Linked DNA regions of Macaca fascicularis. The protein of the gene in region 1 binds, or shares a complex with, the protein of each later gene. Links are inferred from orthologs where the notes say so. Each region holds a gene or a part of one and is shown in the gene's direction. Other genes may lie near its edges. The genes, in order: ITGAM and PTN.

Region 1 (4,364 bases):
TGAGGCCTTTAAAAAAAAAACAAAACAAAACACACACACACACACACAAAATAAGCTGGATGCAGTGGCTCACACCTGTAATCTCAGCACTTTGAGAGGCTGAGGAAGGAGAATCACTTGAGTCCAGGAGGTTGAGAACAGCCTGAACAACATAGCAAGATCTTGTCTCTACAAAAAATTAAAAAAAAAAATTAGCTGGCCATGGCATGTGCCTGTAGTTCCAGCTACTCAGAAGGCTGAGGTAGGAGGATCACTTGAGCCCAGGAGGTTAATTGAAGCTGCAGTGAGCTGTGATTATACCACTGCACTCCAGCCTGGGCAGCAGAGCTACACTCTGTCTCTGAAAAAAGCACAAAATAATACTTAAAAAGCACAAGGTGTGCCTGTACTTGAGTTGTCCTTGTATGGCTACAAATGAGGACTGCTCTGGCTGAAGGGCGCTCCCATTTCCATGGGCTGAACGAGAGACATTTTGCAAAGTGTGTTTCCAGGAAGACACAGAGTTTGACCTCCTACACTTGTTTGATCGGTATTAATGTTTGCTTATTTATTTATTTATTTTGAGACAGGGTCTCACTGTGCCACCTGGGCTGGAGTGCAGTGGCATTATTGGGGCTCACTGCAGTCTCAAACTCCTGGGCTCAAACAATCCTCCTGCCTGAGCCTCCTGAGTAGCTAGGACTACAGGCATGTGCCACCATGCCTGGCTAATTTTTTAAATGTATTTTTTTGGTAGAGACGGGGTCTCGCTCTGTTGCCCAGGCTGGAGTGCAGTGGTGTGATCATAGCTCACTGCAGCCTGGACCTCAGGCTCAAGTAATTCTCCCGCCTCAGCCTCTCGAGTAGCAGAGGATACAGGTGCGCACCACTGTGCCCAGCTAATTAAAAATATTTTTTTGTAGAGACAGGGTCTCTCTGTGTTGCCCAGGCTGGTTTCAAACTCCCAGGCTCAAGCAATCCTCTTGCCTTGGCCTCCCAAAGTGCTGGCATTAACAGGCATGAGCCACTGCGCCTGGCCCGTATTAATGTTTAGAACATGAATTCCAGGAGTCAGGCTAAGTCTGTTCAGCTTGTTCATATGCTTTGGCCAACCCAAGAAACGAGTATGTGACAAATGGCACCTTTTGGATAGTGGTAGTGACTTTGATGGTTTGAGCCAGGAAGCTGGGGAGGAAGGGTGGGCAGGCTGTGGGCAGTGCTGGGAGGATTGGGAGGAAGACCAGGCAGGGCTGTGTGGTCACTGAGCCTCCGCCCTCTTCCTTTGAATCTCTGATAGACTTCTGCCTCCTACTTCTCCTTTTCTGCCCTTCCTTGCTTTGGCAGCTTCCTTGGGGTTCCTCAGTGGCGCCTGCAACCCCCGGTTCACCTCCTTCCAGGTTCTGGCTCCTTCCAGCCATGGCTCTCAGAGTCCTTCTGTTAACAGGTGCATGGGGGTGGGGTGGGGGACTCTGGGTGAGGAGGAGGGGAACTTTTGGGTCTGTCATAAAGAGAGGGCCCAGAGTATGTAGGATTCAGTCTGGGGAGAGGCAAAGGGGATTGGGGAAGGAGAAAGGGTTCAAGAAGAAGCAGGGAGAACAGCTAGACCCAGACAGGCTGGCCAGGGAAGCCTGGATGAATGACCACATTCATGGACTGTGCAAGGCTGCTTGGTTGGTCCTTGCTTCACAGATGAGGAGACGGAGGCCCAGAGAGGAGAAGTGACATGGCCCAGGGTGCACAGCAAGTGTGAGACCCCCTTCCTGAGTACTTCCTCCTGGATCCCCTCTCACCATCTCCACTTTGCCTCCGGTTCCGTTTTCCAAGGACCCGGGTGCAAATGTTTGTTGAATGACTGATGAATCAAAACGATTTGAGTTTGTTTCCTTTTATGCTTGTATGTTGTGGAAAATGAAATTCTCCACAAAAGGGAAGGAAATGCTTGAGAGCTGCATAGGAAGGAAATTATCTAATTGAGAATGCATAGAAACTTCACTGTTGGGCAAATCATCATTGTGGTGACACTGGGGGAAGAGACCATTTGGGTGCTCAGAAGGGAGGCTGGAATTCAGAGCGGGACTGGACGTACCCCATGATGATGGTTCTTAGGTCAGGAGTCAGCGAACAGTGGCCTGGGGGCCCGATATGGCCCACCACCTGTTTTTGCACAACCTGCCAGCCAGAGGTTGAAGATGAACACTGACAATCGATTTGATCATAGGGAGCACCACCCCCAAAGAATTCTATTTGTCCCATTCATAAACCTGTATTACGAACAAATTGTACTTAATCATTACGTTTGGAATTTCCCTAATGACAAATTTGTGGACAAGTATTTTCTGTCTTGTTGTATGAGTACTTGTGCAACATATTCTATCAGCCTCTTGGCCTGCAAAACCTAAAATTTACTATCTGGCTGTTATAGAAAAAGTGTGCTAATCCCTGCCCCAGGCTATCAGAGCTGTACCTGGGAGGCAGACATCTGGATGCTGGGTTAGTTAGGGTGACCGAATGGACGGGAAGGGGAATGGAGCAGGAAGATATGCTGCTATCTCTTTTTTTTTTTTTTTTTTTTGATACAGGGTTTTGCTCTGTTGCCCAGGCTGGAGTGCAGTGGCATGATCATGGTTCACTGCAGCCTTGACCTCCTGGGTTCAAGCAATCCTCCCACCTCAGCCTCCTAAGTAGCTGGGACTACACGCACGTACCACTACACCTGGCTAATTTTTTAGTTTTTGTAGAGATGGGGGTCTCACTGTATTGCCTAGGCTGGTGTTAAACTCCTGAGCCCAGGTGATGCTTCCACATCAGCCTCTTAAATTATTGGGATAACAAGCGTGAGCCACCACGGCCAGCCATTGCTTTCTTTTAAATTATTATTATTATCATTTTGTGTGTGTGTGTGTGTATGTGTTTTATTTTGAGATAGGGTATCTCTCTGTTGCCCAGGCTGGAGTGCAGTGGCACAATCAGGGCTCACTGCAGCCTCAACTTCCTGGGCTCAAGTGATCCTCCTGCCTCAGCCTTCTAAAGTGCTAGGACTACAGACGTGTGCCCCTGCCCCTGGCTGGCATGCTACTTTCCTCTGTTTCACTCGTCCCCCATTCTCCCTTTAGCCTTGACCTTATGTCATGGGTTCAACCTGGACACTGAAAACGTAATGACCTTCCAAGAGAACGCAAAGGGCTTCGGGCAGAGCGTGGTCCAGCTTCAGGGATCCAGGTGAGACCCTCAGATGGAGCCCCCTTTCTCAGTGCTTTCTCTCCAAGACTTACATACCTGAAAAAAATCAGCGATTTCATTGAGTGATATTTTTGAATAGATAAATCAATTCAAAAGATACAATAAATTTATCTTTTGAATTTACAGTGTTCTAAATTCAAAAGATGCAAAAGGGTATAAGAGTAAAACTCTCTTCCTCACTCCCTTCCCCCAGTTCCCTTCCCAGGAGGGACCTGACGAATGGTTTCTTGTGTGTTGCTTTGGGGAGACTCTGTGTGTACATAACACATACACGTCCCTCCCTCAGCCAACACACCATGTGTAGCACACATTGTACTGCAATTAAGGCCTGCCTGCAGGCTGCTGCCTATTTTTGTGAATAAATTTTATTGAAAACAACCCCGTTCACTTGTCACTTACTGTTTATTGCACCCCCCGCCTCCCTCCCTCCCTTCCTTCCTATCTTCCTCCCGCCCTCTCTCATTCCCTGCTTCCCTCTTTCCCTCCTTCCCTCCCTTCCCTCTTGCCCTTCTCTCCCTTCCCTCCCTCCCTCCTTTCCTTCCTTCCTTCCTTCCTTCCTTCCTTCCTTCCTTCCTTCCTTCCTTCCTTCCTTCCTTCCTTCCTTCCTTCCTTCCTTCCTTCCTTCCGTTTCTTTATTTCTTCCCTTTCTGACATGGTCTTGCTCTGTCACTCAGCCTGGAGTGCACTGGTGCAATCATAGCTCACTGTAGACTCAAACTCCTGGGCTCAAGCAATCCTCCCACCTTACCCTCCCGAGTAGCTGGGACTACAGGCATGTGCCACCACACCTAGCTAATTTTTTGATTTTTTTGTATAGACGAGGTCTCACTCTTGCCCAATCTGGTCTCAAACTCCTGGCCTCAAGTCATCCTCTTGCTTGGGCCTCCCAACTTGCTGGGATGATAGGCGTAAACCACTGTGCCTGGCTATGGCCACTTTTGAGCTGTAATAGCAGAATCCAGGAGCTGTGATAGAGACTGTATGCAACCCAAAGCCTAAAACATTTACCTTTACAGAAATAGTATTTGTGGAGGCGATAGTACCTTTCCAGAAGAAGGGGGCTGGTCTCTGCTCTTTGCTTTATCTCCCATAATACAGCCTGGTGATTTGACCAGATAAGTCCATTAATTCCATGTTATGCTTGC
Region 2 (4,281 bases), on another chromosome or scaffold:
CCTGAAGCCTGTGTATAGAAGAAAGGAACACAGCTTCCTTATTTAGTTATTTCATTTGAGAATTGTATGTGGTATGTGTATGAAGGGTTTGGGAAGGGGGATAAACTGTATGTGTGTAAGTGCATCTCTGATGCTGTTCCTTTTGAAAAGCTTGACTGACTGCTTGATTGAGTTTGTAGAGCCACCTCTTTGGTTCCAGCTAACTTCTCCAAGGGACATTTCTACAGGTAGCAGTCAATATAAGAGCCCCAAGTCTCTAAAAACTACTTGCCACAAGACAATGCTTCTAGTTTGGGGGTTTAAGGATAGTTCTAAGTAAATACGTTGCTTAATAAATATTTGTCAAATTGAAATGAATGGATGTAACCTCAGAACTATGAAAAATGCGAGTCTCTTTTACAAGCAATTTGGGATGGACGCCATCAAATGATAAGCTGAGCAGTAAAAGTGGGTAAAAGGAACTAACCAAGGAGCAGGAAAAGCTGATAAGTGGCAGAAAATCTCAAAATTTACATTTTTAAAATGTTTGGGTGAATTTGTGTAATACGTCTTAATCCTTTTACACAATACTTTTATCTCATCTATATCATAAATATTTACCTATGCATTGCCTTAGCATCTTTCCTCAATTGAATGAAATGAAAATTCCAGAGAGATGCAAAGTCCAGCCTCCAAGTTTTACAAACCTCAGAGTTTGAGCTACATTGACGAATCCTCTAAATTCTTGGGTGTCAAAGGCATGTTACTGAATAGGTTGCTAAATGTGCCAAGGAAACCAAAAAAGGAAAGAGCTCTCCCTAAAGGTAAGTAGCACTTAATTGGGAACTTTCAGACGTCTGTCACTCTGTGACAATTGAGAAAAAGTACTTTGTACATTTTGTGCTTTGCAGGTGAGATGTGACTGACAGCTGGGTAACTGCCTCTGTGTATAGGGAGGGCTTTCGTGGGTGGAAGAAGAGGCTGGTTCGAAGAGAGTGCTTTTTCATCCTGAATATCATTAAAGGATTGTGGGGGGCCAAAACTGTAACCTAAAATGCCATCAATTGTCCATTTAAAATATTCTATTTGGCAAAGTGGCTTTGCACTCATCTGAAGAATAGATCATGGGTGGAGTTTGGAAAAGAAATGTTGTGTTTGGTCTCTGCTAGAAACAAAACAAGGTACCATCTCATGGCCTCTTGGTTCAAATCCGTTTTCTTTCTTGCTCCGCGGGGAGAGACTGCCCCTGGAGTATTCTGCTTTTAATAAGCTTCCCAATCAGCTCTCGAGTGCAAAACGCTCTCCCTCCCTCGCCCAGCCTGCGTCCTCCTGGCCCGCTCCTCTCATCCCTCCCATTCTCCATTTCCCTTCCGTTCCCTCCCTGTCAGGGCGTAATTGAGTCAAAGGCAGGATCAGGTTCCCCGCCTTCCAGTCCAAAAATCCCGCCAAGAGAGCCCCAGAGCAGAGGAAAATCCAAAGTGGAGAGAGGGGAAGAAAGAGACCAGTGATCCGTCCAGAAGGCGGGGAGAGCAGCAGCAGACCAAGCAGGAGCTGCAGCGAGCCGGGTACCTGGACTCAGCCGTAGCAACCTCGCCCCTTGCAACAAAGGCAGACTGAGCGCCAGAGGGGACATTTGCAACTCAAAGTAAGTGAGAGGAATGTGCGATTTCTCGGAGGGCTCTTCGATCGAGTTTGCCTTCACCTTGTGCCACTTTTCCGGGTACCAACACATGATGGTGGTAGGAGTGAGAGAGGCTGCCCGGTGTCTTTGCTGATAGGACTGCTTTCAAAACTGACTTGCTCCAGAGGCCAAGGGAGGCGTATTTTGGGGGTTTCAGGTTAGGTTAGTTAGGGTGTGCTTAGGTAAGTGAAAGGAAAGAAGTTTTTGTGATGTTAAGCGTGCATTTGGACCGTGTTCCAGCGGTGGGCTGGAGAGTGCATCTTTGCTTTTCGTAAAACCTGGAGCTTTAGTAGGTGTGTCTCTGGCTGAGTAGTTGGAGAGAAAGTACGGCAGCCTGAACAAGCAGCTCTCATTTTCCCAACCTCTCTCTGATTCTCTGATTGCCCCAGGGCCCGCCAGCCCATGACTCTTAGCTGGCATTTCTAGGTAAGCGCTGCGGGTTTGTTCCTCCCAGTGCTCGCTGACATGGAACCTCTCTCACAGCACTAGTGGCACCCGTCTTCCCACCTGACAGCCCAGGAATGGTTCCAGAAATGGTTAGAACCGAAGTTTAGAAGACACATCTGGAGTCCCGTCTCTCGTTTGAATGCAAATTTAAAGAACTGCCCTGTACATAGACCCATTAAACTTTTAATTTGACCCACATAAATTTAGGATATATTTGTTACTAATTTACTAGATTTTTAGAGTTTCTGAGTTGTTGTTTCTAATAAGTTAAGAAAATATTTTTTGAGAGGAATATATTCAACTCCTTTCTTACTTAATAGATGTAAAGTGAAGCCTTCTCTCTCCTCTCCATACACACACACACCCCTTTCTCCATGACATAACACAACACACACACACAGGAACACATACATGCAATTTATATACACTCTAGTGTTAACTCACCCTTGTGTCTATTAAGAGCTGCTTTGTAAGTTTGGGGACACATTCAGAAAATAGGAGGGATAGGGGTCCTAAGAGGAGAGAACATTAAAGCTCCAGTCCTTGAACATTTCTCATGTTAAGAGTCACCAGGCATTTTGCTTTAGCAGCCTGAGAAAGGGGTGATGTGTGCATGTGCGTGTGTGTGTGTGTGTGTGCTGGAGAGAGGGGTACGGGAGGAGATTCAGGAATTACCAAAAAGAACTTTTGAACTAATAACATAATGAAGCAATTTTATGATCGTAGGCAAATGTGGAATTGATGAAACAGCAGGGCCCATGTTAGCCCCTTAATTATCTGGGAATGCGTTGATATATAGGAATATTAAAAGGTAATGACAATGAAACAAAACAGAAGTCTCCCAGTGCAGAAAATAAAGCTGTGTTTTCCATCTTCGTTATGTTTCCTTTTAAGTAAATTATGCACTTTAAAGGCCAAGTCATTTAAAAAATATAGTCCAGTTAAATTCAGAGGAAATTTGAATTTCTTTGCTTCCTTTGGGACATGAGTTATTTCAGACTGGCAATATTTGTACTCTTTCATTTAAATTAGAAGGTGAGATTTTAAAAAATTGTATTATTTAAAAAAAGAACAACTCTAATACCATTCTTTTGTGCTTTAAGAAACTTGGGCCTTAAGTTCTCTAATTGGACTTTAAATACATAGAAGGTGATCTTTTCTCTGCCACTGCTCACTGGTTCCCTTTAGGACATCTTTTTCTGCATTTAGTGAAAAGTCACTATAAGGAACTCCCACCTGAAGCCACATATAACAGCATTAGGTGCTGTGTTCCAGCTGTTTGCTTCTGGATGCAAATGCATTATGTTCTCAAAGCTAGAGCTTGAGATAAATAAAAGCCCTATTAAATATATGACTTTTTAATTATCTGACTTTAAATGAGATATTGTAGAGAATTAGAGTAATAAGGTATACCTAACTGTACTTATAGTCTAATGTATTATATATAATTCTCTGTTTTTTAGACCTCTTTCCATGAGATCATGAGATTTGGAATAATAAACTTATTAATTTATTGATATTTTCCATGTGCCTTATTTTGGCTTCACTTATAGCAACACATAACAAGATCTGCATTTTCATTGTTTTTAAAATTTCAGTCAAATCAATGGCCTGGTTTAAAATTTCATAAAACCTAGTTGTTGAAAACAACAGAGAGAAATAAGATCCCCAGATAGTTGAATCATTTTTTTAAAATAAAATCAATCTTAGATATCAAATATTTTAACTTCAAATATTTTATTTTTCCTTTGAAGATATTCTTGCTTTCTCACTTATATGACATTCTCACATGAATTCTGATCATCTTCCCATTGTGATGTGGTGTTTTTAATTACTATTCAAAACTTTCCCACAAAACTGAGTTTACCTGGCTCGTTGAAAATGGTGTGATAAATTAACAATAGATTGAAGGCCTGAAGTCTAAATTTGGAATAAAAATTCCAGTTCTCTAAACGATTATGCCTTTTAATATGGCAGCATAATGATATGGGGAGTTGTTCCTGACTTCTTTCCGGAAGGAGGTGTCCAGACTGAAACCACCCAATGTGATGAGTGCAAACGTCCTCCACACCTGAGTGCAACTCGGCCCAGTTTGAGATGTGCTTTTCTCTGGAGCATGAGGCTGAGTGGGAGCCCTCCAATGGCCTTTGTTCCATGGCTTTGCTAGTGATGTT

What was found.
Region 2: the proteins of ITGAM (region 1) and PTN are in contact, whole or in part, in an NMR structure (PDB 8VOH), measured with the Homo sapiens proteins. The link is inferred for Macaca fascicularis from reciprocal best matches to the Homo sapiens genes ITGAM and PTN. Residues at the interface, in NP_000623.2 of Homo sapiens: Pro273, Asp276, Arg277, Gly279, Val280, Ile281, Arg282, Tyr283, Lys306, Pro307, Arg309, Asp310, His311, Ala334, Ile335, Glu336, Gly337, Thr338, Gln339; in NP_001308315.1 of Homo sapiens: Val56, Pro57, Thr58, Ser59, Asp61, Cys62, Gly63, Leu64, Thr66, Glu68, Thr79, Lys81, Thr82, Gln83, Arg84.

The regions. Positions count from the first base shown.
Region 1 is NC_088394.1:29,463,452-29,467,815, forward strand, and holds the start of ITGAM (integrin alpha-M), read left to right. Parts: upstream 1-1,305; 5' UTR 1,306-1,395; coding exon 1,396-1,423; intron 1,424-3,092; coding exon 3,093-3,198; intron 3,199-4,364.
Region 2 is NC_088377.1:179,008,170-179,012,450, reverse strand, and holds the start of PTN (pleiotrophin), read left to right. Parts: upstream 1-1,370; 5' UTR 1,371-1,624; intron 1,625-4,281.